2 linked regions of the Drosophila melanogaster genome follow. The protein of the gene in region 1 interacts with the protein of each later gene in a pairwise test. Each region holds a gene or a part of one and is shown on either strand. Other genes may lie near its edges. The genes, in order: CG18649 and CG9782.

Region 1 (3,356 bases):
TAGCTCATTCAGTATTTGGTGATAATGAGGACAGATTAAAAAACATTGCAAAAACTTTTTTCACTCGGTCAAAAATTGATCCCGAATATTTGGTTTTACCTTAAAGATATTTTGGTAACAAAATTAAATATAAGGGGCGGTGCCACGCTCACAATTTTTGGTATCGTAAAAGATATGGCCTAGTGTAACCCAATGCAAAAAAAAAGAAATTGAATGTCTTTATCCGTTCTGGGTAAATCTATAATCTCATTGTCAGCATTAAAAATTACTAACACGCGCCGCATTATAATGCAATTCGCCTATGTTCGACGAGCACCTGACTGCCGTTGCCACTTTTACCTTTATCCTTCTTGTTGACTCCTTCGTTGGCAACATTTCTTCCCTTTTAACCGCCTCCAGGAACTGTTTACAATTGCGCACAAGTCGTCAATGGCTGTCCTCGTCCTTGGGCTCCCTCCAATGGCATCTGGATGTTCCAACACGAACTGCTTTCACTTTCCTAGATTTTTTCACAGATTGTGCATTCAACTAAACATCATTACGTTTTTCCAGTTGCCCCACGCAAATAAGCAACTTAAGCTGAAATTTTATGATTGCGGCTTCTTTAAGAACATTTAATTTGTCACAGAAAATTATTGGAAAAACATATTACGTTTTCTTCAATTCTAAACAATTTATGGAAATTTAAAATTTGCGTTATTTTAAAAAGAATTTTATATCGTTCGTCTAAAAATATGCTTCAAATAAAAATCCATTTTTTTAATAAACTGTTTATTTTTATAAATGACTGATCCCAAAAATATGAAATGAAAATAATGTAACATGTAGTGGAGTGGTTTTTTATGAAAACTTTCAATAAGGCTCAGTGCCTATTCATTTTCCCTAGCGGCTATCTCTTTTTCGATGTCATCTAGAACCTGGTCAATAGCATCTTCCTCGGGATCGATCAGTTCATCCTCATTTTCGTTGTCTTCCTCGGATTGGTCATGGCCATCTTCCAACTCTTTCTCTTTATCGAGCTGATCCTCTTCTAGGTCATCAAGCTGGTCCTCTGAAAGATCTGTTTCGTTGTCGTCTTCGTCCTCTTCAGTTTGATCCTCCTGGTGGTATTGATCTTCGCCAGATTCCTCGTCACTCTGGGAAATCTCATGAGAAAACTCTTGGGAAATCTCGTGGGATTCCTCTGCACTGGACTGTGGACCCTCGACAATCTGACCATTGATGGTGGGCATGATGCGATAGTAACCGTTGTTATAGTACGGATACCAATTGTTGTTCCATTGGTTACGTGGTGACGATGGGGTAGTATTTCCCTGGTTGCTGTTGGCAACGGAATTGGACACTCCCGTAATGATCACCGTGTTGTTTCCAAACTTAACCGTCGTATTCCTTTGACCAGCCTCTGCCAGGACGGCCTGCAGCCAACCCAAATTCATCTGGGGAGCTGCATTGCCATAGGCAAGGATACCGGCAAAGATCAGAAGAGCAAATGCTATGGATTGCATGATTATCAAAAGTATACAGGCTGAGTGCAACTGAGACTATGATTTTCAATTAGCTTATCTTTGTTTTTATATCTTTAAAAAGTTGTCCAAATCGATCGATTTATTGTGACATGATTACATTATGCTAACAATCGTCAAGGTTCCATCATGGCCTACGATATATTTAGTTAGAAGTAGTTATTGTTTTTGGCTTACCACAAATACGACACCGAACATGTGAGTAAATATTAAGAAGTTTCGAGTAAGCGGAGCAAAACAAGCTAATGTGCTATGAATCAGAAAATAAGAATATGGAGGGCCATTCCCAAAATTTGTAAACAATTGTAGGTGGAACAGTGGTTATTCTACAAAGAAATAAAAAGGAGTCATTAATTTGATATAGACATTTTCATAAGCAAGTTAACTATGGATTATAACATGCTGTGTTTGCTTTCCTTAGGTTATACAATATATTGTATATAAAAGTATGACGTTAGCCACGTTTCACTGTAATCTTTATACGTTCTCCAAGTTCCGTCAGTCAAATGTTTACGCACGACTTTGCCTCATTTTTTGACGCTCAAACCAAGGCAACAGCTGTCGCGGGGTAAACACAAAACGAACCAAATAAATTGTCACAATGCGCGCTTTTATTTTTCTGCCAATTTAGAGATTTTGCTATAAAAGCGTATTTTCAATGTGGAACTGAACTTAGTTGAAAACTAAATTTGACAATACAATGCGTGCCTATTTGCTGCTTGCCCTGTTTGGATGTGTGCTTTTGGCCACAGTTTCCGCAAATCCGGTGGACATTGACGACTTGGAGGACCTCGAGGAGGACAAACGAATTGCTGATGAGCAGGATAATGCTAACGATGATGAGAAAGACGATGAGGATTCAAATGAACCCGAGTCCGACGACGACTTAGATGAGCCTGAATCCCCGGAGGACGATTCCCAGAACAATGATGATTCCGAAAGCGACGAGAGCATCCAGTACAATCAAGATGAAGAGTAGCTCTAATGGGAATTAACCCTTTCTATTCTTTATTGTCTTTATCTACACGCTTTCACCGGTCGTTAGACGTTTAAACAACTGTTTACACAGAAATACACAGTTCATCTTCAACAACCAAATAAGTAAAGGTTTTTATGTTATTCTAGTAAATACACACATTTCTGGAAACACCCATCATAATTGGTGCTTTTTACTTAACTTCTTTTTATACAGCTCTTAAATGATTTTGTAAAGAATTACATACTAAACAAAATCTTAAAAATGCAATTTTTATTTAATTAATTGGCCTCAAAGCCACTCTTAATACTCTTATTTCAGCGCAGGGAAAAAGAAATAATTTTCTGCCTGTAATGTGTGGCTCAATAGATCAATAAATGTTTTATCTCTCAAATATTTACTTAACATTAGTAAGGTGCAGCCATTGTGCAGTTTGCAATAGAAATTTTAAAGCAAACACGGCATTCATATATAAGAAGTGCAGTACTTTGAAAAAACTTATTCAAAGAAGAACTAAGTCTACGAAATAGAGATGCACTTTCTGATGGTACTCGTGATAATTGCTCTTTTGGCCATGGCCTTTGTGAGTGCAAGCCCACTTCCCCATCCAAGTGGAGAAGTTATCGTTATTGTCAACCCAAAAGCCCCAGTTGACTGGTGCTCTACAACATCAGCGGCTTAAATTCGAAAATACAAAAATATTTAGAAATTCTCCCCCGATGCAATTTCTCAAACACAAAATATGAAATGAGCAACTGATAAATCACCAATAAAGAAAATAAAAATAAAACTTATTCAGGGTAAAACTTTTAAATACGTTTTTTGGTCTTTATAAGTTAAATGAAATCAATAAACGT
Region 2 (7,934 bases), on another chromosome or scaffold:
TTAGCGCCCATCAGCTTTGTCACCCATTAAACATATGCAGCCATCACCCTACAGACCCCGCCCCTGACCCCCCCCCCCCCCCTGCAGCACTCCTGATCAATCAGTTCAAGGCCGCGACGAACCCACAAAATATGCATAAATATTTCTGGCTTTATCAGCTTTTACGGATTTTTAATTTGGTGCCATTCCATACCTTAAATTGACTCAGGGCCCGCAGACTTGCAGATGGATTTCGGTTGGATTTGGTGGCCATAGAATTGAGATTCATTGAAGTTTTCAAAGATCAGTTGTTAACTTGCATTTGAGGTCCAGTGATTTTAGTCTTCAAAGAGTTTAATGCTTGTAAAAATATTTAATGTAAATTAATATTTGTATTTATTTCACTTTCTTATTAAGGAAAACTTTTAATGTGGAAAAATTCATTTGACATGTGACCAAAAGTCAATTGAAATTTGTTTCATTACACTTTCTAGGGTATTTGCATATCGTTGATAATTAACTGACTTGATTTGGTTAATTTTTAAACGCGAACTTAGCGATTTACATGCGGCACAGATGTGTGTTTTTGGCCAACGGGCGGGACGGCTGCTTTCGGGGATTGGTTGGTCAGCTCGATCGGGATTTACCAGATCGGCAAAGAGGCAAAACAACAATTGGCCTAAAATCAATAAATTAATTAATAAAATATACAAATTGCGAATGTTGAGTCGGCTCCACTCCGCTCAGCTCAACTCAACGCAATTCAACTCAACTCAGCTCGACTCAGATTGGATTGGCTTGACTTGGCTGGGATTGGAGTGGATTGGATACGAAAAACCTGTCATAACCAGAGCCCAGGCCCGTGACAAATTGGCTCCGAAAAACCAGAAGTACTCCTGCCAGCACAGATCGACCATCGAGGCGCTTGGGCACACAAGGCGAAAAAATCAGGAATTACATTTTTAATATCAGCTTGGCGGGTGGTAGATAATGTTAAATTATACAAACTAATTTAATCAATGATGTCATTGAAGGGGCATAGGAATTTTCTTTGTTAGTGGAAAAATTCAGGGAATATGTGAAGTACGTCGGCATAAATTAATTTAAAATTAATTTTAATTAATTAAAAATTATTCTTTTGCTCACATCCACAAAAAAGGAAAGGATGGCAAGGAAACTTCAGTAATCTGTAATCACATAACTAAGTAATTTGCGGTATTATAAACTTCTATATATTCCTAAAAATATATAGCATGGATACATACATATATTAAACACATTCAATTGAATGTATAAATATAGTTTATACAGTTGACTAAATAAGTCCTGATGAATTTGCATTTGTAATTTGATACAAATACAGACCAAAGTTAAGTTAAGCATATATGTTATATGGCAAAAAGGAAAAGTTCTGAAGAATTCGCATGCCTTGCTTGATTGATGACTATAGATGAAAGTATGGCTAGAATTCGACGTTTCTTACCACATTTTTCGCGCCGTGCAAAAGCAAAAAGAGCTTTTGAGCGCAGGCGGCGATGGAAGTGGAGGGGCTGGGAGTCGCTGGCGGAGGAGGAGGAGGAGGCGGTGGCCACGGGTTGGAGGTGCAGGCAGGCGGTTTGGCTAGGGCGGTCTGAACCTGTTGCGCAGCCGCTGCCGCCGTCGAAGTCACCGTCGCTGCCACAAAATATTGGATGGCCGTAGGTTAACTGTGTGCACACGGCATAAGTAACGTTCAGTCTGCCTCTAGAAGTCGATCGTGATCGTGGCCAGTCGTCAGTACCGCTCGCTAGCAGAGAAGCCGATAACCTCGCCCCCCTCCCTCAAAAAAAAATATATAAAATCAATTATAAATACACAAGTGTTTTTTTTCTAGTTTAAGTTTAAGACGCGCGCGTTTCGAGTTCATTTTGTTGTTGGTCCAAAGCCGCTCCCCACGCATCGAAAAACACGCACGAGCACACACATCAAGACAAAATGAAGTACTTCAACATGTGAGTGATCCAAAAATATATAGTATATATTTATTTCAAAATATTAAATATTGTTTCGTGACCGATGAGGAGAGATCGTATTTTTTTTTTCAAGTGATTGTTATAAAACTGAACAGGACATTGGAACAGAAATAGTAACTTATTAATAGACACATTTTATAATTAAAAATATTTAAAGAATATTTTAATCGAACCACTTTGAGCTTGATTTGCATAGCCCACCACGCACGCTAAACTTCTCGAATTTCTTTGGTACATATATTTAATTTTCGAAATCCCAACTTAGTTGCCAACCGTCGAAATGCATTGGCAATCGACTCCGTTGCATGTAGCACGTTGACTTGCAACCTTTATGGGGCACAACCACATGCAGGTGTAGGTAAGCTCGTCTTAATGCCAATTTGAACTTTAACATGCCGTGGCTTCAAACTGGAACTGAACCGAGCTCCGTGGCTGTGGCTAAAATGCCAAAGTTTGGTCATAACGATGATCACCATGATCAGCATTGCAACGACGACGATGATGATGATGATGATGTGATGAAGTTGTCACGGGATGTGAGGCTGGCATTTTGCCGGCAAAGAAATGGCAAAAGTTAAAGCTTCAGATCGTAAAAGGCGATCACAGTGGCGACAGCAGAGGGGGTGATGGTATGGGGTCTGCTCCATGTTTCAAGGTCGCCAGCTAAAGTGGCTCCTCCTTTCGAAGTGGATGCGCTCAACGCCTCAGATCGTCAGATCACCCGATCACCAGATCACCGCTTTCCTCGACTTTTCGCAGCTGCAGCAAATTAAGTATATTGGATTAATTACCGCGGTTGTCTTTTATAAATTAACGGTTGCACTTTTAATGCGAGCTGACAGACAGACCGCATATCTGCATAAATGCAATACCACTCGAATGGGGTGTGTATATATATATACATATATATATGTATGTATTATATGTGTTAATCGCAGCGTTGTATGCATGGAATTAATCACATGGAAATGGCGAGGAGAGAGGTGGAGTTGGAGTTGGTAGGTGAGTCGGCAGGCAGACGGCTAAATCAGGATTTTCCGTTCCATTTCCCCGGCATGGTGTATTATGCAATTTATTTTAAATAAATAAAAGAAATGAAAATACACGGCGATGCCTTCAAGATTCAACATTCAAGATTCAAGGACTTTCGAGTCGCAAAATTGGCAGTGTGTGTGTGTGTGTGTGTGTGTATGAGTAATATACATATGTGCTGCACTTCATGGGCCAAAGCGAATTCAATGCGATACCGAAAACGTAAACACCAAAATACCACTCTGGGCCAAATCAAAAGACTTAGGCAGCGAACTCGATCGATTTGGCATGCAGCCAGCCAGCCAGCCAGCCAGAAGTAGTAGTAGTAGTGTAAAAACACGTACCAAAGCAACCAAAACACGTACTTGGCCAACTAACAACGACACAATGCACCGTTATTGAACCCACTTGCCTCAAGCGGCCAATCGGCTCTTTTCGCCTTAATTTTGGAACAACTCACCAGGCCAAACCCCCATCCAACCTCCATCCAATTTAACTGGCTTGCTGACTTCAACTTGATCCAACGCGGCAGCAATAAAAGCAGTTACAATCAAATTGAATTCGAATTTGAATCCGATTCGGTGTCGAATGTGCACGTTTGGCCCGTAATAAGTGGCTACACATACATATGGTCCAAATGGGGGGGGGGACTATCTGATCGGGGGCTTGGGGGGTGTGGCCCGTAGGGGGGGGCAAAGGTGCATGCTGGTAGTGGACGCGTAATGAGGTCTCCAGGGCAATTAGAAAACGTGCATGGCTTAACTGGGGCAGGTGTCGCATTTCGTTACGGAAACTTTGAGCCCAGCTCAAGATCAACACTTTCAAGAGGCATTTTTTCTTTTTGAAAAGGTTTCTCTACATTTAGAAATATTGGCCGAATAGTTTCAGATTTTAAGACATTATTTAAATGGGTTTCCTCTAGACTTCAGTTTATAGTTTTTCTTCAGCTTTTATTTGACAAAAACTCGAAATGCATACATAATTCAAGCAAAGCAACTTCCGCTTCTTAAAACTTGAAGACAACCAATCGTTTTAATGCTGCATAAATTGCTTTTGAGTGTGGAAGTTCTTTCATATCCGCAGTAGGCCCAATGACGTCAGCCCATTAAGTCGAAATAAAAAGGCAAAAAAACAAAAAATAAATAAAATAAGCAGCATAAGCCAACAAAACAGAGTGCGAAACGAAAGGAAAACAAAAGGAGACCAAACAAAAGCGAAATGAAATGAAATAAATTAAGAGCCAAACCAATTTGTTGACCAAGCTCTTTAAATGAGGATGATAATGAGGCCGAACGATGAGGCTGCATTAAATAAGTGGTTCCGCCTGATCCACGAAATTCTCGCCAACGCGAGTTGCTTATCATAAATTCGCAACTAATGTCGGCTTATATAACCACCGGCTGGCACTAAAAACAGCCCACGGCGACCAGAAATGTGCCCGTCTGCCGGTGTACCGCCGTACCAGCCGCATCCATTTGCCTACCCATCTATCTACCTGTCCACCCAACGGATTGTTTGTGGGTGTGGACTGCGCACTGGCGTCGTCTGCGCCCTGCCATTGTTCCCGTTGGCCAATCCGCTGGAGAACCGGTTGCGAGATGCTCTATGCCCAGTGCCTAGCCAAATGTCATGGAAAACCCAGCACTTGCAGAACTGACATATGATCCCCCACACCACAGATACATAAATACCAAATATTGCCTTGCGTATAAAACAATGGTATAATAAATATTGGAAATTAACTAATAACAATGAGTGAGTTTATAAGCAACAAACTAAACCGAACTAAACTAAACCAGTGAAGAAAAGCTTTATTCAAAACGTGATCGATCCATTCAAAATGAAAGATCTAAACGACCCGAAGAGAAAATCGTTGGCCCAAGCCCCCTTGAGAAATATTTCTGGGCACGCCTCTGGGCACTGAACTGAAGTCGCTGGAGTCGCTGGGATGTTGAAGATGCCGGGCACGCACCCACAACTTGGGCCCACGCCTTTCACCTTTTGCCAGTTGCATAATTGTCGCTTAACTGGGCCATCTCCATAGCTACATCCACGTTCATATCGATATCCACAGCCACATGTATTCCCACATGTAAAGCCAATCCAGTTGACCCCATAAGCAAATAAATCCCAATGGGGGAAATGCAGCATGCTCGAATGCAAATGAAACGAGCGATACGATAATCGAGTAGAAATAATTAAAATGAACAACGGTGCTATGTGTGTTGGCTAAAAATAAAACTTGGCTTGCACATTTTACCGTTATTAGCCAACTGCAACTGTGAGCGCGCACTTAAATATATTCTGGCGTGGTGCTGGCTGCCACCAACTGGTTTCCCCCGCCCCACTCGTGGCGCTGTTGACTGCCTTTTGCATAAGCACCTGTTTCCTTTGGCCACTCACCCACCGCAACGCCCTGCACAGCCGTACCAACCCCATTCCCCCAACCTTCCACTCCTCTGGCCACCCCCTCATCGCGGCAATAACAACAAAGCACTCGACTTAAGCGTTGCCATAGGAAAGAATTTCAAAACGAGTTCGCTGCCTAAGTCTTTTGTTTTGCATAAAATATGAGCAATTGACTTGACTCACTGAAGCCGCCGCCATCGTCGCCAGCGGCAAAGAGAAATAAAAAGTGGTTAACTAAAGCAAGAAATAAGGAAAAAAAAATATATATATACAGTAGAAACAACAACAACAACAGATACGGAGCAACATTCATTCGCATTCGAATTCGGCATTAAAGCGAAATCCATATCCAAATCGAAATCGAAAGTGAACAAACCCGTTTGTCTGACCTTTACACATTAATATTTGTTAGCACATCTCTGTCCTCCGTCAGCATGCGACATAAAGTATACAAAAAAAAAACAAAAAAAAACAAAAATAAAATAGCAAATCTTACAGGAAACCCGAATGGCAACTACTAATAAATATTAATTATTAGCCTAAACAAATCCAGCTCTTTACGACCTTTACAGGTGATAAATCTAAATAGAGTTAAAAGTGAGAACAAATTCTGCTGATTTTGCAAGCATATAAGCCTATTGTTGATTGAATATCGCTGTTTTAGATCTTCACTTTGCTAAATTTATTATAATTTCATGCTTCTTATTCAGTTAATTACCATATTTCTTGTCGTATCATTCAAAGAGTTTCCACTGTATATGTAGGGGCGGGCACATATGTATTTTATGTACACAATATTTACGACTTCAGGTTCTGTATTGAATAACCCGTCCAACCAGACCTGTCCCGTCCGTCCGATCGCCCAAGAGTTGGGTTCGAGCTGGAAGTCACGAGGATTAGATGCGTGTAGATGTTGGCCAACCTTGCCCGGGGGATTCACCAGATGCCATTCCATCACTGAATCGATTCGAATAGATCCGTTTCGTATCGATTCGAAAGTCGAGCGGTACATTGCACCAGCGACTTCGAAATTCAAGTTATTCCAGTAAATAATACTCGTAATTAACGAAACATTGTTCGTATAAACAACCAATGGGATTTTAATGGCAACAATTCAGTATTGATTTATGTAAAATTTGAATATTTAAGCATCTAATCATGGCAACAAATAGGCACTTGCATTTAAATTCTAATGTTACTGACTAATGATAGCAAGATCGAATTTTTCAAGAAACCTTCAGAATACTTATTTAAAGTATAATTTAATTTAAGTATAAGGAAGTGTGTTTTTTGTCTTTTTAACCATTTGAAAATTATTTCAGTAATTAAATGGTGTTCCACTTTTGGCAATGGTTTTTAATGAGCTATTTTTGGCAGTTTTCAAAGTATTTAAATGAGTAAAAGCATAAGTATTTAAAATAGGAGCTATATACGATTGGCATGAATTATTAAATAATTTTGTTTCATTGCAGTATAATTATATAATTATTAATAATTTATTATATTTTTTTTAATCCACTTAGCTGCCTGCTCTTCATCGTCTGCGTCCTGTGCTACGGAGTGGTCTCCGCTCAGGAGGAGGGTGGTCCCGCCGTTTCGCCGGCGAAGAGAATCGCCGCCCTGCGCCGTCCGGTCGGGAAGGCGGCCAAGGTGACAACCACGACGACAGCGGCGCCAGCACAAGCGGATGCCGGCGGCGAGGGCGAGGAGTATGACGAGGAAACCGGCGAGCACGGCGATCATGGCGAGGAGGGCGACGAGGCGTCCTTTGCCAGCTCTACCACCACCACCACCACGGAGGCGCCCAAAAAGGTCGGCCCGGTTATCCGGCCGTTCCGCTCCAACGATGACTTCCTCAACTCGCTGAAGCGCCGTCAGGCGAACGCGAAGAAGCACCGTGCCGAGAAGCCGCCCAGTCCCAGCAAGCCGGCCAAGAAGAGCGACGAGTCCAACTCCGGCGAGCAGGAGGAGCAGGCATCCGCGCCAGCACCCGCCCCAGCATCCAGTCCCGCCAAGGGCTACAAGGGCAACTCAGCATGTAAGTTAGTCAGGGATTAGGCCAGGATTTTGCTCTAAATGGACTAGCAGTGCCTTCTGAATTTACTAATTTTGAAATAATTGACATTAAACTAGAATAGAAATCTTTAAAATCATCTCTCTATATCAAGTTATTAAATCCATTACTAACTAACGCTTTAACTATCCCCAGTGAGCCGTCGCAAGCTGTCGAAGCCCGCCAAGGCGACGCCCGTGGAGGCGGTGGAGGATGCCGCCGCTGAGGAATCGGAGCAGCAGCAGAAGGAGGAGACGAAGCCCAAGCGCCCCATCGGTCGTCTGGCCCTGCGGAAGCGCAACTGAGCGTTGATTTGAGTGTCAATCAGATCCAACTCCTATTCTACACACATTCCCAGTGACCAGCAAACAACAAACCCTCCCCCCCCTCTCCAACACCACATTTCCCCTCTCTCTCCCCCCCCCCCTCTACCCATCGAATCATATGGC

Evidence for each region.
Region 2: the proteins of CG18649 (region 1) and CG9782 interact in a two-hybrid assay, tested with the Drosophila melanogaster proteins (one large-scale study listed by BioGRID).

Annotation. Positions count from the first base shown.
Region 1 is NT_037436.4:15,052,971-15,056,326, reverse strand, and holds CG18649 (uncharacterized protein), read left to right. Parts: upstream 1-2,191; 5' UTR 2,192-2,223; coding exon 2,224-2,502; 3' UTR 2,503-2,759; downstream 2,760-3,356. Other genes in the region: EAChm (enhancer of acetyltransferase chameau), read right to left, coding at 870-1,505; CG43680 (uncharacterized protein), read left to right, coding at 3,032-3,181.
Region 2 is NC_004354.4:16,615,366-16,623,299, reverse strand, and holds the start of CG9782 (uncharacterized protein), read left to right. Parts: upstream 1-1,710; 5' UTR 1,711-1,953; coding exon 1,954-1,970; intron 1,971-6,955; coding exon 6,956-7,470; intron 7,471-7,641; coding exon 7,642-7,790; 3' UTR 7,791-7,934.